2 linked regions of the Rattus norvegicus genome follow. The protein of the gene in region 1 interacts with the protein of each later gene in a biochemical or structural test. Links are inferred from orthologs where the notes say so. Each region holds a gene or a part of one and is shown on either strand. Other genes may lie near its edges.

Evidence for each region.
Region 2: the proteins of Plau (region 1) and Serpina5 form a complex in vitro, tested with the Homo sapiens proteins (2 studies listed by BioGRID). The link is inferred for Rattus norvegicus from reciprocal best matches to the Homo sapiens genes PLAU and SERPINA5.

Annotation. Positions count from the first base shown.
Region 1 is NC_086033.1:3,509,025-3,513,320, forward strand, and holds the start of Plau (urokinase-type plasminogen activator precursor), read right to left. Parts: upstream 2,964-4,296; 5' UTR 2,936-2,963; intron 2,621-2,935; 5' UTR 2,587-2,620; coding exon 2,533-2,586; intron 2,104-2,532; coding exon 2,073-2,103; intron 1,924-2,072; coding exon 1,816-1,923; intron 1,223-1,815; coding exon 1,048-1,222; intron 642-1,047; coding exon 550-641; intron 399-549; coding exon 176-398; intron 1-175. UniProt on the Homo sapiens protein: Specifically cleaves the zymogen plasminogen to form the active enzyme plasmin.
Region 2 is NC_086024.1:128,786,839-128,791,157, reverse strand, and holds the start of Serpina5 (plasma serine protease inhibitor), read right to left. Parts: upstream 3,078-4,319; 5' UTR 3,070-3,077; coding exon 2,975-3,069; exon of another isoform or gene 2,957-2,974; intron 2,650-2,956; exon of another isoform or gene 2,610-2,649; coding exon 1,981-2,609; intron 1,087-1,980; coding exon 816-1,086; intron 266-815; coding exon 118-265; intron 1-117. UniProt on the Homo sapiens protein: Heparin-dependent serine protease inhibitor acting in body fluids and secretions. Inactivates serine proteases by binding irreversibly to their serine activation site. Involved in the regulation of intravascular and extravascular proteolytic activities.

The sequences.
Region 1 (4,296 bases):
AGTCCCGTCACTTTCTCCACCCCACCTCAGAGGCCTCGAAGCCCTAAGACCACAAGCTGCACAGACAGAAGCTCAGCAGGAGAGTGACAGTGCAGTCTTCCATAGGGAAGGAGAAAGGGACGTTCTTGGGGTGGGCCGGGAGGGTCAGAGTGAAGAGACAAAGGGATGAACGTACACGAAGCAGTGTGTGGCGCTGGCCACCCAGCAAGGACTGATGAGGCTCCCACCACATTTAAAGGAGGGAGGGCTTCCTCCCTTATTCTTCAGGTAGATGGCTGCAAACCAGGGCTGGTTCTCAACGACAGTGAATTCTCCCCCAACGATCTTGAAGCGGGGCCTTAGAGCCTTCTGGCCACACTGGAACCCTTGTTGGTCTACAGTAGAAGAAGGCTTTTTGCCTAGAAAGGAGAGAGATACATGTTTGGGGGAGAGACAGCAAAGATGAAGATCTCCGGGGCAAACCTCACTTCTCATCCCTCCTGTGGTGACAACTCTTGTCTCTTTGTGTGTGTGTCCACACCGTTGTCACAAGCAGCCGGTGATACTCACTGAGAGAGCAGTCCTGCACCATGCATTCTTGGACAAACTGCTTTAGGCCAATTTGCACATAGCACCAGGGTCGCCTCTGGTTGTCGGGGTTCCTGGTAACACAGGGGATTGGGAAGGTCATTCCAACCCAGACTGTCTTCCCTGCATCCTCCCTTCCAGCAAAGGCTCAACCAGAGGTCTGGATTCTTGGGCCAGCATTCCCGTCTCAGTGTACCAGGTGCTGCTGACCTAGGTCTCTAAGAGGCCACGGCAGAGGGAGGGACGTTGTTTTTAACTTGTATAAGTGTTTCCCTGTATTTATGCCAGTGCATGCCTGCCCAATGAGGCCAGAAAAGGGCACTGGGTCCTCTAGAACTGGTGTTAAAGACCGTCATGAGCTGCCCTGTGGATGCTGGGAATGGAACCTAGGTGCTCTGGAAAAGCAACCTGTGCTCTTAACTGCTGAGCCAACTCCCTGTCGCCCCTGGGAAGGATTCCTGGTACTCAGTCATCACCTACCTGCAGTAATTGTGTTTCCCCAGGCCTAGGCTAAGAGCATCGGATCTGTGAGCATTGTAGGTTTGCTGAAGGACAGCGGGTGAATTCCAGGCCAGGCAGGGCCGGCCTTTGGTGTCAGTATTGGCCTTTCCTCGGTAAGATTGACCATTTCCATGATAGCAGGTTTTTGATGTATCTAGAAATAATTTGAGGAGTACAGAGTATTAGAAGAAGGAGGAGGTTTGGACAGGCATTTCAGAGGTGACATAGTTTTGGACCTGTCAGGTGACATTAGGAAGATCCACCCGATCCACCCTTTCTTCACACTTGTATGGCCACTGCTTCATGAGACTCTGCGTGCGAGTGTGTGTGTGTGTGTGTGTGTGTGTGTGTGTGTGTGTGTCCCAACTTCTGCTGCCTGTTTTAATTTATTTATTTGCTTATTTTATGTGTATAAGTGTTTTTCCTGCATGTATATCTGTGCACCTTGTACATGACTGGGACTGGAAGAGGCCAGAAGAGGCCAGAAGAGGGCATCGGATCCCCTGGGACTGAGGGTGCAAATGGCTGTAACCCACTACTGTGGGTGCTAAAAATCAAACTATATAGAAGAGCAGCCAGTGTTTTTAACAACTAAGCTTCAGTGTCCCCCTAAGTGCTGGGCTCACAGACCTATACCACCAAACCCAGCTTCTCCCTGCTTCTGCACCCCACCCATCTCTCCCTGTTCCGAGATCTCTGGTCCTCCACCCTGCCCCTCCCCACCCCAGCTTCCAAACTCCCCCATACCTATCTCACAGTGCTCCCCTTTGAATTTCTTTGGGCAGCTGCATCTTCGAATGCTGGAGAAGTACTTGTAGGACACACATACTCCTCCGTTCTGACAGCCACAGTTTGCTAGCAAATGCAAAGAAAGGGTAAACAAGGATCAAGGGGGAGCCAGCCTCTGAGCAGGGTGGGGGGCAGCCTCTGAGCAGGGACAGGTCTCTAAGGTTTCTCCAGGATGTCTGTGCAGCCAGCTATTGTGCAAGGAAGCAGATACTCACATTCATCAGAAGCTCCAAGTTCACTGCCACCCTGAAAGAGAAGGTAGGGGTCATCAGAGGTGACATGCTCTAGGGAGTCTGGGTTCAGGATAAACAGGTCCTGACCCCCACGCCCCATTCTCCCACCCCTGTCTGTCTCTCCCCATTCTGTTTATTACTAGCCAGTCCTACAAATGAAGGCCATGGGTTTCCAGTACCCAGACATGGATTGACTCAAGCAAACCTCACACAAACCAAGTGCCTTGGGCTAAGGCACTCCCCGTGGCTACCACCTCCCTTGCCAGAAAGTGCAAACCTCTTGGGGTGCCCAAGCCCTCCGCTGACACATTTCCCATTTCCTGTGAAAGCCTAAACCTGTCTTGATGCCTAAGCTCCCCGTGCATCCCCTCTTTTGTCCCGATGCTGCTTAAGGGGTCCTGCGAGCCCCTTCCTAAGCTGCCAAAGCAGCGAGACCACTCACTTCAGAGTGCGCCACCAAGGCGCAGAGGAACAGGCTCGCAAGCCAGACTCTCATGGTACTGACGCTGGGCTCTCTCTAGACAGCAGTTCTGCAAAGGAAGGAGAAGTCAGGGCAAGAAGAGCAGCTTGAAGGTGGCAGAGTTACTACAGGTCAAGGGAAGACACTTCAGATCCCCTGCGGGGCGCGCCAACAGGGACCAAGCTCCCCAGGTCAGGCAGTCTCTCGCGTCTGGGGCTCTGAACCTGCACAACAGCACCGACCCTCTCTGTAGAGGGGAGCAAAGGGCTGGAGTAGTGAGTGACCTTGCCCACAGTTCAGCCAACCGAGGTAGGGGGAAGGGAAGGCATGCAGGGACCCTGGCTGCCTCATCCCGCCAGCCTTGCTTCAGACCAACAGCACTCACCGGTGACTGCAGCGGAAGGGCGCCGGCAGACACGCAAGGACTGGATTGATGACAGACGGTGCTCTGAGGCTCCACTCACTGCTCCGCGCTGCTCGCTCTTTAATAGGGCCCGCCCGGGCCCGGGCCCCGCCCAGGTTTGGTGGAGGGCGGCGCTCTCTCCCTTCTTTTCCTTTTCCTACATCCCACCGCAACTGGACAGCGCTTGCTTCCCGACTTTGACGAAGTCATGGGATTTCCAGCTGACCAAACTAACGCAGTCTAGACTGAGGGACCCAGCAGCTTGTGCATTCTTCCATTCTTTCATTCACCTAGTGTGGCCCCAATGTAGCGTGGTGACGGCGCTCCAGACATGGGCTTGCTGACCTCAAGCCTCTTCCTTAGTGGTTTAATCAGTTCTTCTCCAACCTGTCCATCTTTGACCCCCTACCTGCCTACGACATTGATTCAGATGTCTTTAGAGGTGTATAATTCACAGTTCCTAACCTACTCACAAAGGTTCCCACATGTCAAATGCTGAGTCCCCAAATATTACTAACACAACCAGTGAATCAGAAGACAAAAGTGAAGTTTGTAGTCAGGGAGTGTTAAGGGTGTCATCAGAGGGTGAGACGCAAAGGTCAGATTTTATTCAGACTTGCTGCTTGGTTTAAGGCTAGTCTTTGAAAGATGGTTTTAGAAATTATGGCATGGGGGGTTGGGGATTTAGCTCAGTGGTAGAGCGCTTGCCTAGCAAGCGCAAGGTCCTGGGTTTGGTCCCCAGCTCCGAAAAAAAAAAAAATTATGGCATGGGCCAGACATAATGGCATACCCTTCAATCCAAACACTAGGGAGGAAGAGGCAAGTGGATCTCTGTAAGTTCAAGCCCATCCTAATTTACATAGTGAAATCCTCAAAAATAATTATGATTTAAAAAAAAACAATAAAGGTTACTATCTGATAGGATTGTAGGAGCAAAGTCTTAGGACACCAGCTGCTATTGGCTGGTTGAAGTGTCAATGGGTCTTTTGAAAAATTCCTATAATAAATGTATTTGTCTGGGGAAGAATACTACCAAGGAGCAGCTCAGAACAGGACCGAGTGCAGATCTCAGTGGAACTATGGTTGCACACAAACAAAGATAAACAATCAAGGGAGGGGGAGTCTTTAAGATTTATTTATTGTATGTATATGAGTACACTATAGCTGTCTTCAGACACACCAGAAGAGGGCATCGGATCCCATTACAGATGGTTGTGAGCCACCGTGTGGTTGCTGAGAATTGAACTCAGGACCTCTGGAAGAGCAATCAGTGCTCAATCAGGAGTCTTAGTGTGAACAGTAAATTGTGGCAGGATAGAAACAAAAGGCAAGGGAGTGGTCAA
Region 2 (4,319 bases), on another chromosome or scaffold:
TGGGGTCTAATGGGAGGGCTGGGGCAGGATAGTGTGTGATGGGATAGGGTAATATGGGGTGAGAAGAGACAGGATGGTAACTTCTGAAATTAGATGCTCAGGAGCTTATAAACTCACCTCAGACAACTTAATATTGGTGTGGTCAGTAAGGCCAGACAAGTCAGCATGGGTGGTGAAGATGTCCTGGATGCCCAGCTTGGGGAGGATTTTTTCCAGTTTATAGGTACCCTCAATGGAGAACTTGGGGAGGTAAAGATCTAACTGTCTGGAGAGAGAAGGAGGTCCCTTCTTAGATACCATGAGCTTGCTGACAAGTCCTTAGCACCCACTCTCTGTGGCCTCACAGACTTTCTGGAACCTTCATCTCTGAAGCGTCCCTTGCTTCATATTTAGACTTAGGCTGCTGTTTTGCCTTCTTGCTCTAGCTCTGTCCTCTCCTTCCTGCTCCTCCTTCTCTCCCCATTCCCCCCCCTCCAGTGCTCATGGCCATCTCTACTCTCTCTCTCTCTCTCTCTCTCTCTCTGCCTTTCTCTGTCTCTACTACCCTCTTAACTCCTCTCCCCATGCCCTTATTAAACTCTATTCTCTACTATAAAAAATCACTTAGGCTTCTGGTGTCACCTTAGAACCCCAGCTTTCTGCATCTTATCCCTCAAGCTGGGCCAGGTCCTGGGCTGAAGACTTCATGGGAAGCCTTTAGGTTTGGGGCTATCTCACTGCCTGAGGAGTCCTTCCCACCGGTACTATGAGGTCCTGGAGTGTGTCTCCCCTGACATGGGTAGAAGGCCGTGCCCCCAAAATGGCCCAGAGAGTACCTCTTTGTGAACATCTTAAGCCAGTTCCTCAACGTTCTCTCATCCAGGCCATCCTCTACCCGCTTCATCTTGCCCTCGCTGGGAAGAATAAACAGAGCAAATGTATTGCCTTGGTAAGGGATCCCCACCACCGTGCAGGAAATGTTTTGGTCGAGGATGTAGGAATATATATCTTCGCGGTTCATCATTGGCACCTGAATGGTCTTCTTGGGAGTCACATGGTAATCCATCTTGTGGGTGTTGGTGCTACTGAAGGCCGTCTGCCACTTGGCTAAAGATGAACAAGGGGTAGGAGTAAAAGAGAACTGGGTAAAAATGAGACCCTTGGCTGTGACTGAAGAGTGGAGACAATCCAAAGAGTGTCTCTACAGAGCAACCTCAGCAACAGCAGTACCCATAACTCAGAGGCCAAATCCCCTCATAACTCTGGGGTATCCTGAACCTTTAATGTGCCTGTCCTCCTGTCCTCCTAAACTCTTGCTGTGGTGGTTTGAATGAGAATGCCCACCCCCCACAGTCTCATATGTTTGAATGCTTTATCTCTGGTTGGTTGAATTGTTTTAGGAAGGATTAAGAGGTGTGACCTCGTCAGCACATATTGGTATGACTTTGAGAGTGGGCTTGGAGGTTTCAAAAACCCACACCAGCACCCCTTCCCTCTCTGCTGAGTGTTTGTGGATCATACGTAAGCTCTCAGCTACTATTCCAGCACCATGCCTATCTGTGTGCTACCATGCTTCCTACTGTGACGGTCGTAGACTCTGAAATGGTAAACCAGCCCCAATAAAGTGGTCCTTTAAAAAAAAAATCTGTCCTGACCATTGTGTCTTGGCATGGTAACAGACATTTGCTTTCAGTAGTCTTTGACCCCCTCCTGTTTCCTGCCCTCTTAATCCTGATCAGGTCCTTATCCTGTTTCTAGTGGCTTTGACAGTTAGGGTTGTTTTGTCATGATGGCTATGACAAGGACCAGCTCCTGACTGTTGGATCACCGACAGACTAATAAGGATGCTCTGTCTTACATGGGGCTGCCTTCCTTCCACCCAGCTGGCACCTGGGTGAGTTGCTCTTTTATCAGGGAGGGAATGCTATCTTATGATAAAAAATAAAAATAAAAACAGAAAAGAGAAAAGACAGAAAGTTCAAGTTGGAGCCTAAGGCTTACCTTTGAAGAAGATATAATTTACCACCACCATGACGTGGGTGCTGTCAAGATCCTTGATCAAGTCTACAATCTTGCCGTTGGTCTTCTTGGCTACATAGTCATTGATCTGCTTCTTAGCACTTTCAGGGTTCCCAAAGTTGGTAGAGAACATGTCTGACATGTACAATGTCTTCATGGCACTCAGAAAGTGGTCCCGGATATGTACTGCTGGGTCTGTAAAAAGGGCACTGCCTAGGCTCAGCTGGAGGCCATCACTAGGCTGGCTGAACTGCTGCAGCAGCTGTTGGAAGCCCTTGTGGAGCATATCCTCTTGGCCTTGCTGGAGGCTGAGGCCCAGGCCCTCCAGGATCTGTGCCTTAGTCTTCAAGCCTGACCCCAGGGAGAGCATACCCAAGCTCATAGACACGCTCATGGGGGAGAAGAAAACATTCTGACCAGGGGCTTCAGAAGCCAAGGCCCTGTAGAGCCTGAAGGCAAAGTCTCTGCTTCGGGAAGTCCCCACAGCACCCACAGAGGACTCTTTAGACTTCTTCTTCTCCTTAGAATGGGAGCGTTGGCGGGAAGCCACCCCGTGACTGAAGAACAGCACCAGGCACAGAATGGGGAAGAACCTCATTGTGGCTGCCATTCTGAGTGGGAGAAGAGGAAAATGTTCTTAAGAGAGAACAGCTGTGGGTCAAAGTGAGAGAGACAATAAGTAGGCTGACATCTGCAAAGATGTCCCCTTTTATCCTCCAAGAGGATAAGAAGGAAGCTAGGCCATGGGGCTGCAAAGATCAACATGCAATGGAGTTACAAGAGGGGAGAGAGAGAGAGAGAGAGAGAGAGAGAGAGAGAGAGAGAATATCACCATTTTCCCCCCATAACGTCTTAAGTTTAGGATTTTGCATTGTGCCTCATTCATAGGGTTCCTTGGCTGCAGATTGCCTAGGGGCTATGTTCCACCCACCCACATCCTTAAGGCCATCGGTCCTACCTCGGCAGGTGTACTCACTCTGTATTGTGGTGGCTGAGTGTCTTGATGGGTAGCAATCCACCTGGCTTATGAGAAGAGAGAGGACAGAGTGAATTATAGCTGGCAAATGTCATGGATCACAGAGACTCTGTCTCCACCCCATTCCAACTCTGCCCCACTGGGAGCTGGGCTAATCTAAGGCTTTCTCAGGGCCCCTGATAAAAAGACAAAATGAACCTACTTCTGTTTCTTTGTCTAAGAATGTGCCTGTCAATACCAGTCTGAGACTGAGGCTGGAGCCTTGAAAGTATTAAGATTTCTGTTCCTGGGACTTGGCTCTTTCCCCTGAAGAGATGGCATTATCAATCCCAAGGCCTCTGTGTGCTCAGTCTGTAATGTTCTTGAGATAACCTGTTTTCCTTCTGCAACATTGTTGATTAGTTTCCCTCTGACTTTGTCCCATTGTATGATAGTTTCTGCTGACTCTATCTCCTCTTCTCCCCAGTCCTAGTATATAAGATACTATACTTTTAAAAGACACTTGCTTGGTATAAGACATAGGTGTGCAAGCAAGACTTCCTGATCCTAAACTGTATCGTCTCTATCTTTTGTTCTCTTTATCTTCTGATCCCCTGATCCTTTCCCTCAGGGCATTGTTACTTTTAAAGAAAAAATAAAATAAATGACCGAACCATCCAAGTCAAGTAGTACCTGAAGAGGGACACCTGAATATGAGAAAGAGAGTGAAGTATGGCCATAATTCATAGAGAAATTTAAAAATAAAATTGTTCCCAGAAAGACCACCTGGAGGAAGGAGTAGAAACTTCAGGAGTAAAATAAGGGATAGGAAAGTCATCTTCTTAACATAATATTGTTATTATTTGGGAATTTGACATAATGTATCCCATCCTCCTTACTTCCCAGCACCCCAAGCCCACTCCCCACCTCTTGTGCCCCCCCAAAAAGATTTAAGAAACCAGTTTGTGTTGTTTATATACTCACTGGAGCATGGTCAGACTCCTGGTGGCCAGGCCGTTAAAGATGAGCGAACCCCTCCCATCTCTATGCCCACCAGGAGCCATCTACTGTGGAAAGCCTCTATATCCTTATCCTAACAAAAACCTGCTTGGTTTTGCCAGATTCTCCCCACTACAGCATAGGTGTAAGGGTTGGGGATGAGGGCCTTTGTGAGCTGTGTATGGGAGGTGTGTGTGTGTGTGTGTGTGTGTGTGTGTGTGTGTATACACAGTCAAAACTTACAGCCACTGCTGCACAGATTTCAGAACCCAGGTTCAGACAACATGCCCAGGCTCCTAGACACAACAGTCCTTCATTGACCTACCTTTGCCTGAAGAGATGATTGCTATAAAACCTCTTTCCCAGT